2 linked regions of the Drosophila melanogaster genome follow. The protein of the gene in region 2 purifies or fractionates together with the protein of the main gene of each other region. This does not show direct contact. Each region holds a gene or a part of one and is shown on either strand. Other genes may lie near its edges. The genes, in order: sav and jub.

The links.
Region 1: the proteins of jub (region 2) and sav purify together in Drosophila melanogaster (affinity purification with western blotting; 2 studies listed by BioGRID). This does not show direct contact.

The regions. Positions count from the first base shown.
Region 1 is NT_033777.3:23,054,479-23,066,250, forward strand, and holds sav (salvador), read right to left. Parts: upstream 6,827-11,772; 5' UTR 6,706-6,826; coding exon 5,894-6,705; intron 5,506-5,893; coding exon 4,552-5,505; intron 4,481-4,551; exon of another isoform or gene 4,479-4,480; coding exon 4,418-4,478; 3' UTR 4,131-4,417; downstream 1-4,130. Other genes in the region: Ctns (cystinosin), read right to left, coding at 45-150, 251-353, 410-698, 885-1,245, 1,311-1,493, 1,564-1,660, 1,721-1,775; Ublcp1 (Ubiquitin-like domain-containing C-terminal domain phosphatase 1), read left to right, coding at 7,182-7,341, 7,399-8,201; CG17111 (uncharacterized protein), read right to left, coding at 8,297-9,215, 9,278-9,475, 9,534-9,747, 9,804-9,984, 10,083-10,323, 10,801-10,990, 11,060-11,404. UniProt on the Drosophila melanogaster protein: Plays a key role in the Hippo/SWH (Sav/Wts/Hpo) signaling pathway, a signaling pathway that plays a pivotal role in organ size control and tumor suppression by restricting proliferation and promoting apoptosis.
Region 2 is NC_004354.4:13,825,830-13,838,728, forward strand, and holds jub (ajuba LIM protein), read right to left. Parts: upstream 4,489-12,899; 5' UTR 4,182-4,488; coding exon 2,813-4,181; intron 2,425-2,812; coding exon 2,395-2,424; intron 1,891-2,394; coding exon 1,750-1,890; intron 1,681-1,749; coding exon 1,511-1,680; intron 1,292-1,510; coding exon of another isoform or gene 1,277-1,291; coding exon 1,214-1,276; intron 1,124-1,213; coding exon 958-1,123; intron 889-957; coding exon 641-888; 3' UTR 501-640; downstream 1-500. Other genes in the region: AMPdeam (AMP deaminase), read right to left, coding at 5,092-5,271, 5,339-5,449, 5,511-5,805, 5,873-6,327, 6,388-6,844, 6,917-7,011, 7,075-7,193, 8,986-9,320 and 1 more. UniProt on the Drosophila melanogaster protein: Regulates organ size by inhibiting apoptosis and promoting cell proliferation by influencing the expression of G1/S-specific cyclin-E (CycE) and apoptosis 1 inhibitor (th). Negatively regulates the Hippo signaling pathway.

The sequences.
Region 1 (11,772 bases), on a different chromosome or scaffold from region 2:
GGCACAAAAGTCTTTCTCTACAGCAGACATATGATAATGCAGCTCTAATATTTCTCAGTCGTCACTTCGCTCGGCGGCGGCGACTCATTTGTTCGATTTTGAACATCGGTCACGGTGGTGAGGTCAGAGCTCGAGGATTCCCTCGAATGCCTGGGGAGAAATGGAAAACAGCACAGCAATAATGATAAGTGTACAGTGGAGATGACATAATCGTAGATTAAGTATCATATTCACACAATGTTTCAATCACCTGTAAAACACATAGTGCTGCAGCATGAAGAACACATCGAAGAGCACGGAAAACAGACCCAGTCCGAATTTGGTGGGATCACCGAAAATCGACACCCAATCATCTGGAAACCAGACACGATTTCATTCGAAAATCACAAATTGATAGACTATATCCTACCGTAATTATGAGCATTCAGAATCATTTGCAGCATGCTCAGCGTTCCTCCCGTGAAATCCAGCAGAATGTTGCCGATGCTCCAGCCGGAGGTGCTCTTCCGGCGATAGTTCATCAGAGCTTGCGGCACGTACTTGATGATGGTAATGGTTAGCTTGACGTAACTGCAGTAGTACAGAAAGTCCAGCCAATGGATGACGGATCCTCCGGCCAAACCGGCAGACACGACGACCACCACGGCGAAGATGGCCAATATTCCGTAGGCAATGAACGACACCCTTTGCTGTGCTCTCTGGACAAATTTAACAAAGTATGGATGTTTTACAAGTCAAAACCTTATCTACTCTTCATATCGTAACTATCCGCTGTGATTCAAATGATTTGGCATTTTGATTGATGGCAATTAGTGTTCAATGCGACAACTGTTGCCACTTCGGCGATAAGGCTATTGAATGGTATTTGCTATATATATTATTACCTGATAGAAAAAGCACTGAAGGATCGTAATGCAGGTGGCGAACATGGCATGCAGTGAGAAGACCACGTCGTTGAGCATCACAGGATTCACTCCCAGCGGATATCGCACCTCGTACTCGTTCTGCAGATCCTCGATGAAATAGAGGCCGCAGTTGAACATGCTGTACAGGGTGAAGCCCACGATATTGAGGGCCAGGAAATCAAAGTTCAGTCCCTCGACGGACTTGCGGCGATAGTTGCTCCAGATCTGCGGATAGAAGGACACCGACCAGGCCACAAAGTAAACCCAGCCAAAGATGATGGAGGTGTAGATCAAAGCTCTCGATTTGGCCACAGTCACGCGTACGAACACATCCTTCACACTGGAAAATAAGTGAATTTTCCAATTAGGTACGGGAACAGTTGGGATTCCCGTGAAGTTACTCACATCTCTTTGTTCGCATCATCGCTATCTGCGACCACTTTGACGTTGCCGGCTTTGAGGCCAGTTATCACCACCGACTGATTTCGAGTACTGCCCGCTGGATACACAAACGTTGCGGGATCGAGGAGCAAATGATCCTCCGAATCTGTTCCCAGCGCAACTTCCACGTCGCTGTCTAGCAATCCGCTGTAATGGGCACAATAGATTTACGATGCCATATGTTTTGGATTTGGATTTCCCGGCAATGGCAACTCACTTGGCGAACACCAGAAAAGTCTCGTTGCTGTTCAGCAGAACGGTGATGTCATGGGAATCGACGGTGAGCTGACTGCTTTGGGCATTTCCCAGGGCAACTGTGGGCAGGAGAAATTCCCTCATTATTAGATCGCAATATCTGGATTGCGATATCTCACCTGTGGCCAGGAGGAGGAGCAGCAAAGTGGTCAGGCGGTGTGTGCTGAAATCCATTCTGCTTGCGTTCAACGTTCAACTTATTCATGCATGAGCATCCAGTCCTGCTGGCATCTTCTTCAATGAAGCCCTATATGGTATTGTATTGATTCAATTGTGAATTACTTCAATTGACCAATTGACCACGATCGGGTGAAATTGATATCTACTCGTAGGAGTATGGAATGCAATTCCTGACACCTTTTTTTTTTTTGCTTCTTAATTTAATGACCCGTGCAGACACTCAATCAATAAGGAATATAATATGATATAAAATGATATAAACATAAAACTATTTGTTCCAAAAAAAAAACTTGCAGTGCAAACTACGCACGCTCGCTTCATCTGGAATTCGTGTGTGTTTTTGTCGAGATAAAAGTCGGTAACCTTCATCAAATGTCGCTCAATGTTACAACTTTGCAATTGGAGCACACTTTCCCACGGCAAGCGTTGGAGCACCCATTTTATGTGCCTATATGGCCCAAATGGACGTAACAGGAAATACATGGGCTTTGTCGGTCGATCGTAAAACCAAAAGATTCCCGATTGTTCATACTATATTTTTTATATGGCGAGGGCCGTGACTTGGCGATTGCCAAGAAGTGTAAAACACCGCGTGAGAACGGGCTTATCTCAATCAATGGAGCTAGCTGATAGTGTCCGTCGAATTATTGCGGCAGTCTGCCACAAGTTGCAGATAATCAATAGATTGGGCAATGCACTGCGATTGCAATACTAATCGCAAGTCACGATCCAAATTTTGGTTCTACATAAATCAAAACTAATGAGAGTGGTAAACTACAAGGGTAATTTAAAGTTCGAACACCATATCTTTCACGATCGTTCACACGAATCTTCATGTTTCAACTGATATGCACCATAAGTTATTCACTAATTCTGTTTCAATTCTGGTGATAGATAAGACGATTGATTGGTAAAAAGGTCCATTGTTAGTTAACAGTAACACCCATTTATTCATTCATGATTCCACGCACGAGATACGCTTGTTGTGCGTCTGTTTGAGCCGGATTAGAACTTTCACTGGCATGTGGGCAAGCAGAGGCTTTTAGCCGCCAACTGCTAACGCAAAACATCTGTATAAGCCGCCGGATTATTGTGATTAAGATAATGCGGATTAGAACAGTTGTTTGCCTATGCTATATGCATGATCGCCACCCAACACATCAATTCACTCACGTTAAGAATGAAGTTAAATAATGTGTCCCAACTGACGATTGAGCGACTGCCGATGGCTACAAGTGGAATGGAATGCTATGATGATGGCTGCGATGGCGACTCTCCAGTGCGACTGAGTGCGCGATCCAATGGATCCGTTTAAATATTGGAGCGATGGAGTCGACGTCGACTGCGGCAGCGGCAGCGACGCACCAGCGGCAGCAGCAACAACAAGTGGGGCGAGAGCGGACCGCCGACGTATCTTGGCTTTTTATTATACATTATTTTTGCACTTGAGAACCCGGCGGCCGAAAAGGTGGGCACTTCAGTCGGGAACAGTTAAATATTTTGACAAGACGAGTAGTTCTCAAAACAAAAAAAAAAAAAACACTTTTTTTTCAAATTCAAATTTCAAAAAAAATATGCTAAAATGTATCTGTGGGATAAGCAATGAATGGAAATGTATCTACGGGATAAGCTATGAATTGAAATGTATCTGTAGGATAAGCTATGAATTGAAAAGTATCTGTGGGACAAACGAACTTGTATCTCACAGTACAAAGTAATCATACCAAACCCCTAAATATATATTATTAGTCAATAATATCCATCGAGTCATATTTTCTGTTTACTTATCAATTTAGCAAAAGATATGACAAATGTAATTACAATCTAAAACTCTCGTTTTATGTATCCTGTTTAATATGTTCAAAATATAATAAAACACAACTTTTGGCCTTTCCAATGCCGAATACTCCCCAGACTTCGAAAACTTCTTATCAGCAGTAGAAACTGTTTTTGAGGGACCTGCAGAAACAGTGACTATAAAGTTTTATAAGCATTCGATAAGAGGCGACTGAATGAATTATCAGGTTCGACTAAAAATAAGCATAGCCAAACGAAAACAAACATAAGATTCACTTTCTATTGGAGCGCTGTTTTTTTTTTTGCCAATACAGAATCGGCCACGATTCACTTGTGCCCAATGCATAATTTTTGCAAGCGAATCGAAAACTTGGCATGGAACTCGGAAATATGTGCCAAGCCAAGTCGAGTAAGACTTGGCCACCAACTGTTGCCCTTTATTTACACTTCGCGGCGCTGAATTTCCAAAACATCCGTCGATGAATCGGACTCCCAGGTTAAATACCTGTGGGGTTTCAGGTGGCACATCGATTACAATTGCGCTCGGCAGGTAAGATGATCAGTAAACCAGTTTAATTTTCTTTGCTCACATTACAAACAAACGCCAAGCTCAAATCACATTAAGGTTATATAGAACGTAGCACAATTCTACGTTTCATCAAGGCATTCGAACTGTCATGGATCTGCTTGGCTACCATCTCGTCTGGTTTCGTATAAGGCACTGATTTCGCGATGAGTCGATGGTTAAATAAGTTAAAGGTCGATTACAGGAGCACTATGATGTGCATATAGCTGCTGGCGAGTATGTGGTCTGAGTCAGTCGTCACCTGGTCACCGGGTCACTGGTTTTGGTTCTGGTTCTGGCCGGCGCGTCGATTCTTCTCGAGTATCAAAGCGCGACTGAAAGGTGTAACAAGAGAGTAGTGGCTTTTCGGAGAGCGGAGAATGCAGCGGCATGTGGCCGCTCACTTACCGGTAGCGCTCGTAGAAGCCCACGATGGTGCCCAGTTCCTGCTTGAAGAGCCGCACCAGCATGCTGTCGAAGCCCTCCAGCTCCGGCAGGCTAAACATGTTGAACTGCAGCAGGTGGTCCTTGGACGAGTCCGCCTCCGAGTAGACGGCCAACCACTTGGGGATCTCCTCGAGCAGATAGGGATTGGCCGGCACCAGTGCATTGTGAGTGTGCGTGGGTGGGGCATAGAGCGACGCCTCTGGTCGAATCGCTTTCGGTGGCTCCGCAGACGTCGTGTAGACATAGTAGGAGGTCAAGCATGGATGCTGACGTTGGCTCTGCCCGGTATACTGGTTCTCATAGTAGGTGCCATGCATCTTGGACACCACCCGCCGCCAGCCCACCGGCAGACCTTCGCGCTCCAACGGATGATTCCAGTGCGTGGTATGCGCATTGTGATCAATATAGTATTTCCGACCGTGTAGCGTGTACTGAGTGGCCCAGCCGGGCGGCAGAGGCAGCTCCTCGGGCTCCGTGAGCGATTGCTGTGATGGTACCTTCTGCAGCGACCCATTGGCACTGCCTCCCGCTCCGGCAACCGCACTGGGCGGAGTTCGCGGTGGGACGTACAGTGATTGCACTGAGGTAGAGGCGCCGCGAACACTGCCAGAACTGCCACCACGACCGCTGCCGCTCAGGGATCCTCCCCCGCTTCCAGATGGCACCGCCAGGTGACCCTGATGATGATGCTGCGGAACCACGGCCAGCGTGGCCGACGAGGCCGTCGTATTGCTGTAGATGGGCGACTCCGATCGCTGCGACTGCGTGGCGCGCATCGAGATGACGCGGGACGGATTCTCGTAGATCGGGTACGAATCGCTGGAGTAGCTGCCGCCCAGGTGAGCTGCCAGTTGTGTGTGCTGCAGCTGCTGCTGCTGCTGTTGTTGTTGTTGTTGTTGCTGCTGCATCGGAGAGCTGTGGAAACAGAAGAGAAAATGTGTTTAAAAATGTTGTATATATCATATATATTCCATTATATTCCTCGTACAGAAAATCATATATTGTGTTATTGTTTTAATTATTGTAAGGCGAGTAGAAACCGGTTTTGTACATCAACTTTTCTTATTGTAAATAAATAAAGCAATCTGTTATCAAATAAAAAATCTTTGAACAATAAATGTTTCGAAAATAAAACATTTCGTGCATTGTCATTGTTTAAAAGTTATAATAATATTAAGCACTTTTTGACAATATGTAGTTTTTACGGATTATTCCTTTAATCAAGAGCTGCTCATATTATCTCTACCCACTTTATCAATCGCGCGCTATCTATTCAAATATAGTACTTCAAGAGGCAGTTTACCTAGTTGGCTGATACCTGGGCTGTCGCTCCCTGATGGACATGGCAGCTCGATCGAACCGCAGCGTGGAGCCAAACGGCGTCGAGGCGTGCTGTTGATGAATCTGTGGATGCTGCTGCTGCTGCGGCGGGACGGCGTAGTGAGCGGGCGAGTGTGGCCGCTGGGGCAGTTGCAACATGTTGGCATAGGAGGCGCTTAGCAGGCCCTGATCTGCATCGTAGCTGTCACCACCCAGATGGGGATGATGCTGCCGCTGGGTGGTGGAGTAGCTGCGCTGGAATCCTCCGGCTCCCGGCGCCGGCGATGATGTGGTCTGCAGCAGTGGCGACGACTGCTGACGGCGCATCCGCTCGATCTGCTCGAAATTAACGTAGTTGCTGCTGTTCTGACTCAACTGATTGCTGCTGGCGCGGAACTGGTGGGGCGGCAGGGGAGGATGACTACGCACATGCGGATGGGAGGGGTGGGGCAGAGAGTGAGGATGCGAGTGGGAGTGCTGCTGCAGGGGCATCTGGCTCTGTGCTCGTCGAGCATGGTAGTAGTCCGGCTGCGAGTCCGTGCAGGAGTAGGTGTTCCGACTGGTGCTCGAGCTGCGCGGATGGAACTCGCAGCTGGGCGAGGTGCTCGCACAGCGCTGCAGCGATTTCTTCTTGGCCCGCTGATCGCTCCACACATTGATCACCGAAATATCCGGTGGGGTGTCCTTCTTCATGTACTTCCCCACCACGCCCTCCTTGTGCTGGGACTTCTCCTTGTTCCGGCGCGAGAGCATCGTCGGTTTTCGGTTGCACAGCAGGATCGTTAGATAGTTCATGCAGACTATGTTTCCGCTCGGATTCCGGATCGCTGTCTTTGTTTAGTCCATTTTCGAGCTAAATTTATGCTGTACGATCGGTTTTTGTGTTTTCAGCTGGTGACCAGTGTGGCCAATGAACTGGCGAAACAATCGCCTATTGGCAACTTGGGGACATTCCTCATGTCTTTGCATGACTTTCTTTAATTGCTAAATATATAATTTTAAAAAATTTAAAATATTTTTTAATAATCTCTGAAAAATATAATCAAAAAATCATTATTTTTATTGCAAGCCGATTGCAATCGATAACGCCGGGCGTTGCAATCGATAGTATCTATCGACTTCTGACAACTCGACTGTTTATATGGTCTTCTAATAAATTAGTTAATATCTTTAAGGTACACTATTGCAAACCACTTGCTGGATTCTATCCAACAAACATACATTACCATATATGGTGTGATAAATTAATAGCGGAATAGAAACCAGCTAAGATGGAGGTCAAAGAAGTGGTAGTGATTGTAAAATGGAGTGGTAAGGAGTACCCGGTGGACCTCACCGACCAGGACACCGTGGAAGTGCTGCGTCACGAGATATTCCGCAAGACACAGGTGCGTCCGGAACGTCAAAAGCTGCTCAACCTGAAGTACAAAGGTGCGTGACACTCCTAGGCTTCGGGATATTTCAGTTTTAAGATCCAATGACTTGCAGGAAAGACAGCAGCCGACAATGTGAAGATCAGCGCTTTGGAGCTGAAGCCCAACTTTAAGCTTATGATGGTGGGCTCCACAGAGGCCGATATCGAGGATGCGTGCAGCCTGCCCGATAATATTGGCGAAGTGGTCGACGACTTCGATGACGCCGATGAACGCGAAGAGTCCGTGGAGCACTCCGCCGTCTATTTGGCCAAGGTGCAGCGTCGTGTGCGAGACTACAAGATCAAGGAGTTAGCGCCGCCGCGTGAGGGCAAGAAGCTGCTTGTCCTGGACATAGACTATACCCTATTCGATCACCGATCGCCTGCTGAAACAGGCACGGAGCTAATGCGTCCGTATCTGCACGAGTTTCTGACTTCCGCCTACGAGGACTACGACATTGTCATCTGGTCCGCCACCAGCATGCGCTGGATCGAGGAAAAGATGCGCCTGCTGGGCGTGGCCAGTAACGATAACTACAAGGTGATGTTCTATCTGGACTCCACCGCCATGATATCAGTTCATGTGCCGGAGCGCGGTGTGGTGGACGTAAAGCCGCTTGGTGTAATCTGGGCCCTGTACAAGCAATACAACTCGAGCAACACTATCATGTTTGATGACATCCGTCGCAACTTCCTTATGAACCCAAAGTCCGGCCTAAAGATCCGCCCATTCCGTCAGGCTCATCTCAACCGTGGCACGGACACCGAGCTGCTCAAGTTGTCCGACTATTTGCGCAAAATCGCTCACCACTGCCCGGATTTCAATTCGCTAAACCATCGCAAGTGGGAGCACTACCATCCCAAGAAGAACTCCTGAACTTATCCTCGGTTGCAAACATTTGTTAGATTTATGTTAGATTTATGTTTATTAAATTAAGATGCATTTTATACGCATTGCGTTCCAGCCGTCAATTAGAGTGTGTATCCGCCTTGATCCGCCCAGTGGACTCTCCTCGCCTCCAGGTACTCCTCGTGCAGCCTGCGTCGCTCATCCTCGAGCTTGGCCAGCCGGCGGTAGCGCTGCAGCACCATTCCACAGCCGAAGAGCAGGGCAACTTGACAGATCAGCCAGAAGATGAACAGTGCAATCAGCAGGCTCTGGTTGATGCAAACGTTATCCAGGTGCAGCGGGTCGTCTATGCCAGCAATGAGCAGCACTCCCCGCTCGCCGTACAGATAACTATTGGTGTTGCTCTGGTCCGGACCGTGCACCCGGATATTGTAGTTGAGGGGCAATTCCTCCTGCGATCTGGTAAAGTTGTCTGGTTGCGGAGCCACATCCACCACCGTGGAGATGTACACGGGGTTCTGAACTCGTAGGTCTTCCGGTCTACGATCTGGTTGGTCAGCCTGTCGCCTTCTCCGTTGCCAGGATGAACTAATACAATTGCTGGGCGAGCAGCGCTCCACGCAGAAGCGAATCTTTACATCGAAGCTTACGTTGGCCGTTCCTGAGAACTTGAAGGCATGGAAGCGAGCGCGCAACATGCTCCTGCTGGCTGTGTGTACCCTTTCCAAAGCGGGAAACACACTGGCATCTGTGGGACATCCTCGCTCGTCGATCAGCAGCACAAAGTTCTCATTGTCCGCTGTCTTGGCCACCAGCGAGGTAGCACGAAAGTCGGGTAGTGGTGCCAGCTGCAACTCCATGTGCTCTGCCAACTGCTGTGGGCTGTACTCCGCCACAATCTGTAGTTCCAGGTTCTGTCCAATCTGCACGTCGTTGGTCTCGTGCTGGTGGGATAGATCCAAAATCTGAAGCGAGATGCTGGGATGCGGATGGGGCCCAGTGCTGCTGTTGTAGTGAACCACACCCTCGTGTGGGAACATGCTGCAGGTATCGATTGTGATAGAATTAAGCATTTTGAGGGATTCTATTAAGAATACACTCACTGTTCTGTGTACTCCAATGAGGACTCCAGTGCAATGGCGCTGGGCACAGGCTCTGAGCTATCCACACTGCTGTCCCGAACCGAAACGCCCAGCGATGTGGTGGCATTGCTCTGTATACAGCCAACCTTGATGAGCCGGTCGCCCTGGGTTTGCACATTTGGATTGTTTTGGATGACCACCAGAGCAGATATGAACGTTCTAAATAATGCAAATGATATAATTAAAAAAATGGACTGGACATTGGACTTCATCTTACCTTTGGTATTCCTGTGTCATTTCGTAGGCACGCAGGATGCCACAGCGGTTCTCCTTTACCTCGCTGCCGATCTGGAGCGTCAGCAGAACACTCCCATTGCCCGATCCTCTGGCCAGGCAGTCCTTGGAGTGCATGCTGGCATAGATCTTGCCGACGAACCAGTCCTTGGGATTGTACTTAATGGTCATCTCATCGCGGGTGCAAAAAACCCGGACTGCGGAATAAGGAATCGATTAAGATTGAGCATACCACATCCCCAGAAGATCTTACCATCCAGGCACTTGACCCTCCGCATGTACACCGAGTTTTCACGGAGCTTCAGGCTTCGCGGACCCAGGGATACAATGTCCTCCGAGTGGAGGAGACACTCGGACAGCGAGAGTTGGTTTACATAGTAGAAGGAGACACCCTGGCAGTAGAACTTCGCCTCGTGGGAGCACATCGCCTGACACTGCAATACGGAGGTAGAAGCCATCAATCAATCATCCGACCCCCCATCCATTTCGATTACAATCATAATGCGCGACATCCGAAGCGCGGCGGACACACCTCTTTTTGGGAGAGGCCCAAATACCTGGCCTCCGCATAGATGAAACTGCTGTTGGCGTACAGCTCGTAGGAACAGTTGTCACTTTCGATGGCCCGTTCGTGGCACTGGTTCTCCATGTACTCCTCGTCGTATGGAGCCGCGCGAAAGGCGTCCGGCTGGACGGTCTTGTCCCTGTCGCTCAGCATACATCTGCCGAGGCGGGGAGACGGACGCTGGCCAGGACCCGCCTCGCCGCGGAAGCTACGAAAGAGGAGGGTTAAAGGTTGCTTTATTAACTTCTAAACGATGATGTGTCGATTATGACCAAGTCAGTTCGGTTATTTCAGAAGAATTCGATATATACTTGAGTTTAAGAAAATCTAGATGATTGCTGATGATCTCACTTTTCAAAAATACTTATCTTATTTTGTAAAAATTTGTTTGGAAAAGAACATAGCTTCGAAAAGATGATGTCTTCTGGATATATCTTTCTTTCGTATTATAATATCATATTATCATATTATTAGCTTGCTACACATTGTTGAATAGTCCTAACCTATCCCATCACCATCCTCGGAGTGATGTCATAATCCGGCGAAAAGTCTCGACCATGCATTAAAAATGCACAACAAAAGCTATTCATTTGTCCGGCGACCAGCAACTACAACAACCACCCACTGACAACCGACAACAACAAACAACCAAATAGCAAACAACAAACAACAAATAGTCAATTACCGCTCACGATTGTTCCGATAGGAGGGCGCAAAGGAGGCGGAGAGGCATCGGAACTGGGTTTCGAAGAAGCAGCGCTCGGCGCACTCACGCCGCGTGACCAGCGTCGAAATGGTCTTCTTGCTGTGGTAGACCAGCGTGCTGCCGGGGATTTTGGTCAGTGCCCAGAGACGCCCACGGCACGCATCGGGAACTGCAAGGTCGGAATGGATTAGAGGCGGATCACGGCCACTTCCGGAGGTTTGGCTGGAGAATTACTCACCTCGGAGGCAGGTCTTTTCGTAGAAGACGGCCTCGCCGTCTGCCACCAGAGGCAGTTCACCCGAAATGGCCAGATAGCGCGAGGTTCGCTCGAAGTACGAGTAGCCATGGCACTCGTCCGTGTCCAGCAGATGGACATAGGCAATGCAATCGGGATCCTCGTTGCAGATGCGCCAGCACACCTGGCTGACCGGAAGTTCCTGTTGGCCGTTGCGAGTCTTGAAGTTGCTCACCATTTCCGGTCCGTAGATCCGATTATCCGCATTCAGATACTCCAGCGGTGGCCGGAATCCGACGATCTTCTGCAGCTGCAACTGGTGCAACGGACACTTGAGCAGCAGCGCAACTGGGGGGCAGAACGGAATGCCATGAATGTGGGTTTCAATCCAACGGGATGCGCATGACTGGGAACCAACGCATTTTTCAAATTGCCGAGCAGTCATATGGATTTCAATTCTGGTAGCTAAGCTCGTGCTCATCAATTAATATGATATTTTTATGCATAGCTGAGCAATGAGAAAATCAATCAAGCATCATCGGGATTTACCCTTAAGTAGGGAGGGGGTTTAGGAATGTCTGAGATTGGCGTTATTAACTAATTGAAAGGTTGAATTGGAAATTAAAAAACGTAACTTAACAAACTTATCATGAATTGCAATTGAGATATGCAGAGATCTTTCAAGGTATCTGGTAGATACTTTTTTGATATTCTGG
Region 2 (12,899 bases):
AGCATTAAGCATTCGAAAAATTTAAAAGAAAATATTTTGTATGTATGTGTTATAAGAAAACTAAACAAAATTCAAAATGTCACACGTATATGTTAATTACTCACGGTTTAGGCAAACAATTAAAATTTTGCATTTTCGCTACTTAATAACCGAATGTATGGTATGTATCACAACAAGCCACTAACCCACTGGAATATCCACAAAAGACTTTCAGATAAGAAGTATTAAGTATTTTATTGCATAATTTGAGACACCGTTTGCTATTGCATTGAAACCTCAAGAGGTCTCAGGAACACCCCAGGACATACATATGAAGAACACATCAATATACTTGTATCAAAATAGTATTGCCAACAATGGCTGCCAACTGTCGGAGATTTTAGGAATCCATTACATAGTTTCTAACAGATCCGTTTCGAGATCCTAGTACACTGCCATAAAAATGAAGAAAAAAAAAAGCCATTAGCTTGGCCCTCGTTTCGTATAAATGCATTTGTTTTCACTTCTGTCTATTTAAGATAATATTGTTAATTGGAATAAGTTGATTGCGATAGTTTGTTCTGGTTTTGTGCGCCACTCAGTCGAAGGTCGGAAGGTCGGTCTGCGCCGCGCCGCCTCTCCCAGCCACACTCCGTTCCGCTTATCCCATATACTGGTACGAAGCGCAGACGGGCTCCTGATGACGAGCGTGTGGCGAGGATTGCAGCGCCAGACGTTGCAGGTGGCAACCGCGGCAGAGCAGGCGCCCGTCCAGCGGGTAACAGCGTTTGTCCGGCTCATCGGTCAGCTGCATGCCGCACTCCTCGCAGATGTAGCAGTCCACGTGGAAGTCCTTGTCCATCGAGACGACGCGCACAGTTTCGTCGGTGCCCTCGACGGGTGTGATGCCTGCCGAGAATTGCCGACGATTGCGAGATTAGCATTGACGTATTATTCGGAATGAAGTTGTGAACCCACCTTTGCCGCAGCTAGCGCACTTGGGCGCAAACATTCGATGGTAGTCGTTGACGCAGTAGATCTTGTGGTCCACGTCCACGGTGAAGGGCACCCCGTCTAAGCACTCATTGCACACACAGCACCGGAAGCAGCCCGGATGATACGACTTGCCCATGGCCTGCAAGATCTGCAAGAGGGAAAGAGCGAGAGCGACGTCAATGTGAGTACAAGTTGCCCAATTAGAGTGGGATAGAAACGAATGGGGTGCAGTACGAACCATTTCCATGATCAGATGGCCACAGATGGCGCACTTTTCCGCCGTCTGCTGGAAGCCCGAGTACTGCAAGAGTGAATTCTTATTATTATTAATTAATGGCGTTGAAATCATAACAAAGCAAATGAAAAGGTAATTGCGTCAGTAACCAAAAATAACGATTTATAATCATAAATATAATAAAATTCAAACAACACAATACAGTTGGGAAAGTGTTTTCTCAAAATGAAAAGGAGTTTTTACGGGGAATATCAATATTTTTCAGTCCTGACTAAACTACAACTACAACTATCTTCTCACCATGTAATCCTCCTCGCAATAGACCCGACCATGCACATTGTAGAACGCCTTGCCTCGCAGCGCCCGTCCGCAGGAGCAGCAGATGAAGCAGTTGGTGTGATACAGATTGCCCATCGCCTGGCAAGCCTGCCCGGCACCCTTCACCTTCTCGCCGCATGTGTGACAAATGCCTAGTGATTGTAACCGATATTATTGTGAGTCAGAGATATTATGGTTAAGTGCTAACAATAAATACACACCAAAGTATTCGCCGTGCTCCTCGCTCTGTTCGATCTCCTCCTCCAGCTGGCGTGTGAGCTCTTCGATCTTGCGCTGCGCCTCCGTCGGGCCAGCCGGACGCGGCGGGGTGACGCTATACGGTAGCAGATTCTTGGTGAGACCTGATGGCGGTACAGAGTAGATATTAGGTCATGCTATTGACTTGGCTTGCAAGGCCAAGTGAAGATTAGTCAGCTTAGTTAGGAAAAAACAAAAATAAATATGCGGGCGCATTGTTGGGACAAACGAAAATAATTGAAATAAATAAATCAGGAAAAAAGCTGAAAAATTCGCGGTGTAAGCCAAATTCTTGAATGAAAAATGAAATCAAATTATAATAATATTTTTCTAATTATAATTCCCATCGACAAAACATAAAAAATTTGTTTGTTTAAACGATAAAATCGCAATTTCAATCATGGTGAAATGAAAATGAACGATATTGCATTCGAATCGGTTTCGGTTGTCATTGAATCGGTTCAGGTAAAGGACTTAAAATTAAACCGGTTAGCGGCAACCGTTTGACCAAAGTTTGTCGCCCCGCCAACCGGTTTATGATTGAGCGATGAGTGATGACACGAACGGAACCCAACCCCTTTGGAGAAACCAAGCTCAGCCCGTCATACCTCTCCTGGGTTTCAAGGCAGCATTAACGGCTGCGTGCAAGCATTTTTGATGGGGGAAGCATTTGGATTCATTAGTTTGATTAATACAATCTCGAATTGATGGTTGTTTAGTGATGGAATGTATCCATGTAGGCAAAAGTATGCATACATAGATACTGAAATATTATAATATGTTGCATGCTAGGCGAAATACATGTTTATGTATAATAAAAAGTACGTTGAAGGTGCTTTTTATTATTATTCCATATTTAAATGATAGCTTTAGTTTAGTAAAGTAACCATGCATCTTTAAATGGATCGATAGAATTTTTGTTCACTTTACTATATATAGCATGTACTCCACCTAAGCGATGCAGTATCTATTCCATCACTTAAAGTAATTCGCCATTTTGGGGACAGACGATCGTCAGTCGCTTACCTGTGCTGCCCTGCGAGGGAGTGGGTGATGTGGCCACCGCCAGAGGAGCCGTCATCGCAATGGGCGTCGCCCGCAAGGAAGCGGTGGATGTTGGTGCTGCTGGTGCCGCTGCTGCTGATGTCGGTGCATTGGATGTGGTTGGTGGAGCTGCCGTGGCCATGCCCATGGCCAGTGATGACGTTATTATTGGTGGTTCCTGGACAGTTCGCTGGGCAGGGGCTCCCGTTGCAGCCGCCCTGCCGGTAGCCAATCCTGCTGCCGTATTCCTGTGCAGATTCGCCGTCATGCAAACGTAGTCAGAGCTATTGATGTCCTCTATATAGTTAGGATTAACGGAGACATTAATGGCGCCGCCGGGCGACTTAACGGGCGTGTGCTGCTGCAGTTTGGCCACCGACTGCGCGGTGGGTACGGGACTTAGGTGGCTAGGTAACGATAGATTCCTATATCGTTGCGTTGGCGATCCCAAGGAGCTAGAACTGGCCGTGTTGCTGCTAATGCTTCGCTGGTGCATGGGCGAGGCCAGCAGCGCATTGAGATCCAGACCGGCGGTGGACGAACTGCCTGAGGAGTTGGACGTGGGCTGCATCTCCTGATACATGGTGGCGGTGGCCGGCGAGGCCTGTGGCTGTGCCCGCTGGCCAGAGTGTGGAATGATGTTCTCGTATATGGGCGCAGCATGCTCCTCCAGATCGCCAGTTGGACCCAAAGCAGCAGAACGTCCCGATGGTGGTGGTGGTCCTCCTGCTGCTCTGGTCGTTCCCAACGATGCAGATCCTTGATTCTCTGGCACCGGCGTGTGTGCAAAGCGCCCAGCCCGAATGGGCTGCATCAGCAGATAGCCGTTCAATATGGCGCTCTGCCTGCTCCCGGGACTTTGAGGCTGAGCCCTCTTGTGGTTTGAATCGAATTGACCGTAGAACTCCAAGTTCTCATATACCGGCGAATGCTTCTGCGGTGCAATCCGCTGGCCCAGAATCTGTGCGGTCGGTGCATAGATTTGTGCACTTCCGTTGTGCGTGTGCTGTATCTGCTCCACCGGACGGGGCGTGGCGTATTTGGAGGCGGCAATGATGTTGCCGCGCTCGTACAGCTTATAGTCCTGATTGTGATGGAGTTGCTGCATTTGCTGCATCTGATGTTGCTGCTGTTGCTGCTGACTTTCCTGCAGGTAGTTCTCAATGGCGCCCGGTGAGCGCTGGTAGCTTCGCATGGCCACGCCCCCGTCTCCAGGGCCACCACTGCCGCCCCCTCCTCCAACACCAGCACCACCTCCCCCACCGATGTGAAGACGCTGCATCAGTGTCTCATAGTCGGAATCGGAGTTGCCGGGATTCCTCGCCTGCGTCTGCGTCCGCTGGGTGGTCATTCTGTCTTTTGATATATGTATATTTATCCACCAGATCCTGCTCCTCCTCCTTATCGTCTTCTTCTTCCGTCTCTCCTACTCCCTCGCCACACTTGCTGTCTCGCTCTGCGGGGGGGACGCCGCCCCGAAATCAACGATTGGCTCGCTTTTCCCGGTCGGAAAAGACCTTAGCTAACTGTGCTCGGCTAGTTGGCAATCAGTCAGTCGGCTTTTCCTTTATTCTATCAGCTTTTCTGCATTTTCTTTGTGCGCCTGCATTGGAATATCAAAAAATTCGTACAGTTAAGTGTGACCGCCGCGGGTTACGTTTATAATATACTGTCCGGCAGGCAGGCGAATATACCACAAAATATACTGCAGCTCAAAAGGGCCACTCTAAAATATCAAATACATATTGCATTGCATTACATTGTTTTTTTTTTTTTAATCTAGCAACGTTATTATTTAAAATTGTAAATTTAATTACAATTCCACTTAGTTATTTTTTTAGCTTGCAATAATTTTAATCCATTTAAAGTCGGGATTTTGAAATATTTGAGGTCTAAATTTCAAACATTGAAATTTTAATATTACTCTTCTTGAGTTTTTAACTTATATCCACTATTTTTACTTTTGAACCCAAAAGGTTAGCCAAAACTACAATTTTAGATCCCATAGCTCGAAATATATTATTATTTATATTTATATATTATTTACCTTATGATTATTTTTAAATAAAAGTTGAATGAATGGAAGTTTCGTGTACAAGTTTTGTATATTTAAAGGTTTTGGTCTGCCGCGTTTACATTTTGGTTAGTACAGAAACATTTAAATTATGTATATAACTAGCGTATATATCTGCGTAATTTGCATTAAGTTAGCATAGGAAGCCACAACAACGCGATGGAGCAGATGTACCGCATGGACCAGACTATGTGGCGTTCATGTCTGCAATGGAGCACGTCTGGTTCACCTTGAAGATGTTGGACAGCTCGTCCAGCAGTGTCTCATAGCGATAGGCCACACGGATCTCTGGCACATTGGTGCGCGTGATGTCGTTGCCCATGATACCGTCCTCGTAATAGATGGGTCCCAGCCACTGCTGTTTGATCTGTGGATGAAATCGGAATTGGAATCATTTGTCCGAACATAAAGCAGAAAGCATGCTTGGAACTCACGGCATGTGGGAATCCGCTCATCATCACACTGTTCCTGGCCAGCTCGCACATGTCGCATGAGCTGAGCTTCCACACCTGTGCCGCAATGCTGTACTCCTCCATGAGGGGTTCCTGAAAAGCGGACATGGGTTAATTTAATGCTGAATATTAAAGCATATATTGTCTAGCCCACCTTGGTGAAGTGGAATTGCAAGGGATCATCCGTGGAGAGGGAAATGATGAGGCCACGGGCCAAATACTCTGGCAGCGGATTGCGATGATAGTTGAGGAACAGGGAGTTGTTCGACAGCGGCGACATGGCGATGCCAATCTGGGTCAGATAATACAGATACTGCAGCACGGGCACTTTGCGCAACAGGAGGCCGTGGGAGATGTTCTCGGCCATGAGGAAGCCGCAAACCAGATGCTGCACGGGTCCAGCCTCGCCGCAATGGGGCCGCAGCACAAAGGTGTTCATATTGCGAGATCTGATGTATCAAAGGTAACAGTGGGTTAATCAATGATATATATACATATCAATATACTTCTACGCACTGTCTAAACTTGTTCAGCACCGTCATGTTGGCGTACATATAGTAGATATAGTAGGCATAGGGCGGATTCTCCTCGTAGGTCCACTCCTCCGGACGTGGCACATCGTTGTCGAAGAGCGGATTCTCCGGCTTGGACTCATCGTCCACCGAATCGAATCCGATCACGTACTGCAGAAAGCGATGCAACTCGGGATGCTTACTGGGTCGGGCTGTCGCCTCGAAGAGCGGCAGGAATATGTTGTTCAAGATCTCCTGGAATGACTTCATCATCTTGTTCGACTTGAAGATGTCGAAGAGACGGGGTATCTGGATCAGCCAGCGAATGTTCGAGCTGTACACATCATTGTCGATGGCCCACTTGGCCAGTTTGTACCACTCATCCGGCGACTTGCCATAGATGGAGAGACGCAGCTCGGCGTTCTGGTACTTGGACTCCTCCAGATCGAAGGCCACTTCCTGGCAAGAAAAACGGAAGAATTAGTTTATAATCGTATTCAGTTGTGAATTGATAACCACCTTTATGATCTGTGCAAAGTATTTGCCATTCAGATAGTTGTCCGTCTTCAGGAAGACTTCCCTGAGCCGCGACTCCCCGATGGGATTGTACTTGGAGTTAAACTTGTCGAAGCGATGGAACGTGTTGCGATCGGCATGGACGTCCAACATGTCGACGGTCAGGTCGTAGGTGGTCAGGTTCATCGACTGGAACACCTGGGCCAGTGTCATTTGCTGGCCATTGGTGACGGTGACCACCTCGTTGGCGTTGTTCTTCAGCGTCTTTTTAATGAAGCGCAGCAGATGCTTTTGGTTCATGCACGATGCGGCATGGATGTGGGTGTCCACCTTGCGGGTGTTGTAGAAATCGCGATGCGGCACCGCCTTCTGGGCAGCCAGCTCACGCAGCTCGTTGAGGAGCACGTGCATCTGATACTTGGACGACAGATAACAGAGACGTCGATAGCAGAAGGATTTCCTATTAAAGTCGAGCATTGGACATTATTTCTATATCTTAATCGATTTGATACATTGCTGAAAATATACTTACAATGGCCCATCGGCAATCATATTGCACATGACCTGCATGTCGTTTACGAATTGGCTCATATCTGGATATTCGTATTTGATCTCACTGCTTTCGTCCTGGAATATTATCATGAGTGTGTAAGGATTCGTGGTATTCTTATGTATTAGCTAGATACTTACATCATTCTCGTAAATGTGAAACACTCCGTTGAGGGGCTTAATCTTGAAATCTTCGTCATTGGGAAACTCGACGTTCCACGGATTCGTAATCTTCATTGGCGAATGTCTCAAATGGACATCTGCAGATTCTTAACAGTTTCGAAGCAAGTTGAGACGTGTGTGTTTGTGTTAAATTCAAATTCAAAAATAGAAATTGTTTTAGTTTTTAAGGCGATCGCAGCAGCAATGGTAATTGGTACAGTTAGTGGCAAAGACAACACTCTACACTCAGGTGTTTGTGCGAGTGTTATTGTCAGTAAGTATTTGGTGTGTACGACGTGCTTTAGAGTGGACCTCCGTACAGTATCAGTACACCTTTTTAAATATTCTAGCTTCGAATTTTCTTTTTAGTTTTTGAAGCAAAATTAAATTACGATTTGATATCTTAAATTAATCCCTATTAATTTAAAGGACAACAGGATACTAGAAAATACATCTGAGTTCCACTCGTGCGCTACAAAAGCTTTCAAAGTGGAGTAGTTGAGTCTTTCCTTTTGTACAAGGCTTTTCCCTTTCAAAGGACCAAAAAGTAAGTGAGGAACGGTGAGAGTTTAAGCTTTTATATCGTTTATGATTTTAGCTGGGGCGTGTTGTTGTTGTTCTTTTGTGGTGGCAAATATATAGAACACGCAAGTAACATATGCAGAAACACAGTGGAAGTGAAAAAATAAACGGTCAATGAATACATATGTACATGCGAGTGTTTGACAGAAAGTTCAATTCTGCAAAGTGTAGTTTTTATAGCGGGCGAAATAGCTAGAGATTAGTGTGGCCAGCATTGTGTTTAATGCAGCGGGAGAGGCAGACAACTGAAGGTTAGGACGGCCAATTTAGTAACCTTTGCACGATTGTACAAATCGGATGCAGCAATTAATCTTATAAACTATTATGCGAACTGGGGAACAGGTAACATAAATTATTATTATAGATTTAAGCTTGGTCATTAACACATTCAGAAAACATATGTATTTGTTTTTTAATTACAATCACACTGAATAACCAAAAGCTGGCCACACTCTATGCGTTGAAAGCAGCGTTTCTATCTCTATTTTGAGGTTAGGAGCGTGAAGTAACCATTAAGAACACAAAACAAGATAAAGCAGTGCTCAACGGAAATCAAATTTCAGGCAGAAAAACAGAAGGAGGAGTTGTTCTTGTTGATCGTGGTGGAATAGTTGGATAGGCGGAAAGCGGGAAGGCAGGAAAATCGGGTGTGCACACGAATTACCTTGTATGTTCGCTACACTCATTTTGCGAATGATGTCTATAAGAAATAATGAAAAATACGAGAAGAGAAATAAATAGTCGATAATAAATCAACAAATTGAAATAAAAAAAGGGGGCTAAAAAGGCTCAAACATATACACAGTATGTACACAGTTGCTCGTTAAAGGCTCTAAATAAAAAAACGGAGGACATGAAAACGAAACGGAGCGAGGCGGCTAAGGCGGAGGCGAGAAAGAGACGGACACACGAGCTAACCTCTGCAATTAAATGAGTTGGCAACGCCGGCAAGTACAGTTCACACAAAACACCCGCTAATACGAACTTGTATTATACATTATTCACTCGCAAGTGAATTAATTGCCATATATTAATAATATTCATAATTGGGTGCATCACAACACTTAGGGGCAATTGTACATTATTGCACATTATTTCATACATATTTACAAATTTGCGATGGGCTGGGTCGATTTTATAAAATACAGCGAATTAAATACACCAAAGTAGCGTTTAAGTTTAGACCACAAAACCAACCCAGTCCATGCATAAGTTGAAGATACCACTGTACAAGGGAAGACCAGAAGATAGCTTTGCACTCTTCCTTATGGGAATACGGGATTGGATTGATGGAATACAAGAACTCACCCGACACCTCCTTGACGGGCAGATTGTTGATGCGATCCTTGAGCTTCACTGTCTTGAGGAATCGAGCCGTGGTCGAGGGAAACGATTGATCCGACATGGCCATGTAGTGGCTACGCAGGCGCAGTGCCTCGATCAGCAGGGTCGAGGCCCGCTCCAAATCCTCGAGCGGTACGCCACTGGTGTCCTCACCCGAAATTGAGACCCGTTGAAAGTTAATGTCCGCATCGTTTCTCTCCATAGTAACGGCGGACTCGCGGCCCTCGGTGCTGCTGGATGATTCCCTGTTTGTGGCCAATACGGCGGCTGTGGCCACTGGTCTAGGTCCTGTAGCCTGCCTGAAATAATTGAGACAAGTACCAAAATGATGAAGGTTAAATAAACACAATCAAATGCATTTAACTAATCACTGACCCTCCTAGTGTAAATAGGAGATAAAATAGCCTTGAGACATAAAGCTCGCTTTAGATTTCTTTAGATCTTACAACAATCTGTTACGGATTTAGTCACTGACAACTTTGGTACTACGTATATGCAATATATAAGGGATCTCCTGCTAGGCTGACCATTTGCAATCATCGGGCTGATACTCGTAGCAGCGACCAAAGCTATAGCTATCATCCGCGAAGGACATCCTGCCTGGACTGGTGACCACCGCCAAATGGAGCACTTCGCCACGGGTCTCTCTTCACTTTGATGGCGATGGAGATAGGGTAATGATCGATTGGTGAGTTGATTTATGGCAACGCAAAGCTACCGATTGTCGCTAATTTGCAATCCAGCACGCTATTTAAGATACCTCTTGCAACACCCAAAAAAAAAAACCCAATTCAAAGTTGCCACAAATTGCGTGCCTTAACACAGTATCTAAGCTAAATTGCTATGCTTCGATTGTCCTTTGTCTGGTGAATAAGCTCTTGAACTTTATATCTAAGATAACTGCTACTTTAAAAATAATTACTGAACTCTTCAGAAAGTATATCTGCGTGTAATCTTTAAAGGGTACACACTCTAAGAACAACTCTCTAGAACTTAAAACTAAGACTTAGTTGCAATATCACTAGATTGGCAGATAATGCCACTCCAAAATTGTCAAGTCTTCTGCAACATTTGTATATATATGTATATAAAAACCCGTCACTTGGGGATTTCCCCTTTTGCTTTTGTTAACTGGCGTGCGAAACCTGTCGGAATTCTAAGTTTATGCCAAAAAAAAAAAAAAAAAACTTGAAGTGTCCGTGCGAGTTGGAAAGTTTTTGCCAACGCCGCTTCTTGGCTTCTTTGCCACTTTTTTTTTTATTTTATTATTTTTTTTTTGAGCGACGCCTGGCGTGCGACACGAACAACAATGGTTGGTGAATTTTAGTGGGACAGTGGGTGGCTATAGATGGGCTAGATGGCAGTTCGATGGCTGGTTTTGCCTATTAGGCGGGCTCAATGTCAGCGGAGGTCGCACAGGTAGTGTAGTACAGTGTAGTGCCAGGTGGGTAACTTTGGGCCGCGTTTCGCGACGTTGAGCTGCCCGTTTATTGGATCGGAGCGTACTGAAAGTGACGGCATCCGCGCCAGAACTCAACCGTCGCTTGCAGTGGTTCTCCTGGCGGCGGTGCTGATGGTGGTGGTGGTGGTTCATTACGCCATAAGCCCTAGCACCACCACCATAACCACCACTACCGGCTCGATTTTAGGCGGCTTGGGCGAAAGTCCATCACCTCCGTCATGGCTGTCTGTCTAATGCACTTCCATTCAAAATCAAAACGTGTTCTGCATCGGTCCACACTTTCCCCGGCCAAAAATGAAAATCCAAACAGCAACCGAGATCCGGACTCTGGCGGCAGACATAAACCCACTTTGGATTACGCCCGGGAATCTACATACATACATTCACCGCCCACCTGGCAGACTGATAATTGCAACGCCTACACATTTTGTGGCTGCCTCATTACGGGGCTATAGAAACTGCTCATGATTGAGAGCCAAGCAGACTGAAATGCGTGCAAATCCTAAGAATATGTTCAAATATAAAAAAAATATATTTCCATCTATTATGAGATGTAAGATCCTAAGATATGTTCGAATTACAAAATATTCAAAGAAAATATTATCATTTATTTTGAGATGTAAAAACATATTTTCATATGTTTCCCAGATAAGATTTGTTTTTATTTTTGTCCTCTTTAAAATTTCTTTGTTTGTTTAATAGAGATTTTAGCCTTGAAAAAAATCTAACCTTAATATAGAAAAGCTGATAAGGACTCAATCACGAGATCTGTGAACTCGCCGTGTTTTTTGTCTGCTTTGCATGTAAAGTAAACAAATCTAAAGCGAAGCAGAACCGATTTAGGTTTGGATCTGATTACTATAACCGAATAATGGGGATTTGAAGACATATAATTTAATCTATATATATATCTATGTAAATTATGAAGATATATTTACAAACAAAAAGTACATAGTAAACTTCAACTGTCGTTTGTTATTTTAAAAATGAAAGTTTGCTTTTCTATATATTGTGTGAAACTTACATTTTGAAAGTGTAGAGCTTCTCTAAAACGTATTATATTTTATTAAATGTAGCACGTAAGACAGGTTGTAAGTCCTATTAATAACTGATTAAACTGTAATATGTTACAGTTTCCAATAGCAAATCACTAAAGTTTTGCTGATAAGTGAAAAATAATCAGGTCTTTCTCAAAATCCAACAATTTAAAAGTATAATCTCTCAAAGCTAAATTACCATTTAATTTTAATCATTATGGGAGCATCTTTATGATATATGTATATTGGTTTCTAACACTCACTTTTCATTGAGATGGCGCTGGATTTGCAGCTTCTTCTCGATCTGTTCAATGGGAAATTGGGGCACTTCATAGGGCGCCGAGATCTCGTTGGTCACCTCCACATCAGCTTCGGCCTTCTCATCCACCGGTGAATCGGCGAGATCACCTAAGAAATTAGAAAACAATCATATTTATAGGGATTCAAATTAAACAGGTAAAGTTATTAAGTTATAGATCCCATTGTGGTGCAAAACACCTACTGAGATCGTCCGATGAAATGGTGGGCGTGGAGGAGGCGGTGCCTTTGTCATTTAGCTGATTTCCCATCGATCCCCCATAAAGTCGAACATCGACGCGCAACCGATGGGCGGTATCCATGCGATTGAAGTTCATGGCAAAAAAAAAAATGAAAAAGTGTACAGAAAATGCAGAGAAAACCCGGGAAATCGGAGGATCGTAGACAAGGTTGTGTTGTGAAGTAACTTGTTCGAGAGTTGTCGCCTGAATGAAATTGGAAAACGTCGAAGATCGGAGAATTCCAGGCCGAGATCTACCGACGTCGACAGCGACAGCGACTGAGACTGCGACTGCGACTGCAGCAGAGGCGCATCATCTTTGGAGGCACAAATAAATAATAAAAAAAATAAAATTAAACGAACTAAAACATTGACTTCCAAGAAAACAACCACACGGAATTGATTGGCGACTACAAATTGGGCGAACAACAAAGTTTTACAAAAAAGAAGGGCACTGAAAAATATTTACATATAAGCTTAGATTCACTGTGAAATTATTAATCCGAACTAACTGATATTCAAGATCATTTGAATAGATCACTTGGATGTTTGGTAATAATTCAAATATAGATTATAATAGCTAATATTATTTATTTTAATTGTTCTTTTATATTTTTTTTGCAGTGTAAAACAGCACGAAAGAGACGGAAATGGAGGAGAGAGGGATTAGCGGAGATAGCAAAAATACTGGCAAAATCAAAACACGCACTCAAAACACAACAAACTAGATGAGGAGACTGATTAAAACGATCCGAAGTTGGAATACACTTCAAGGTCACAAAAACAACAATAATCTCCTATCATCAAAGGAATAAACCCGCCGCAAAGAATCATATTTAAG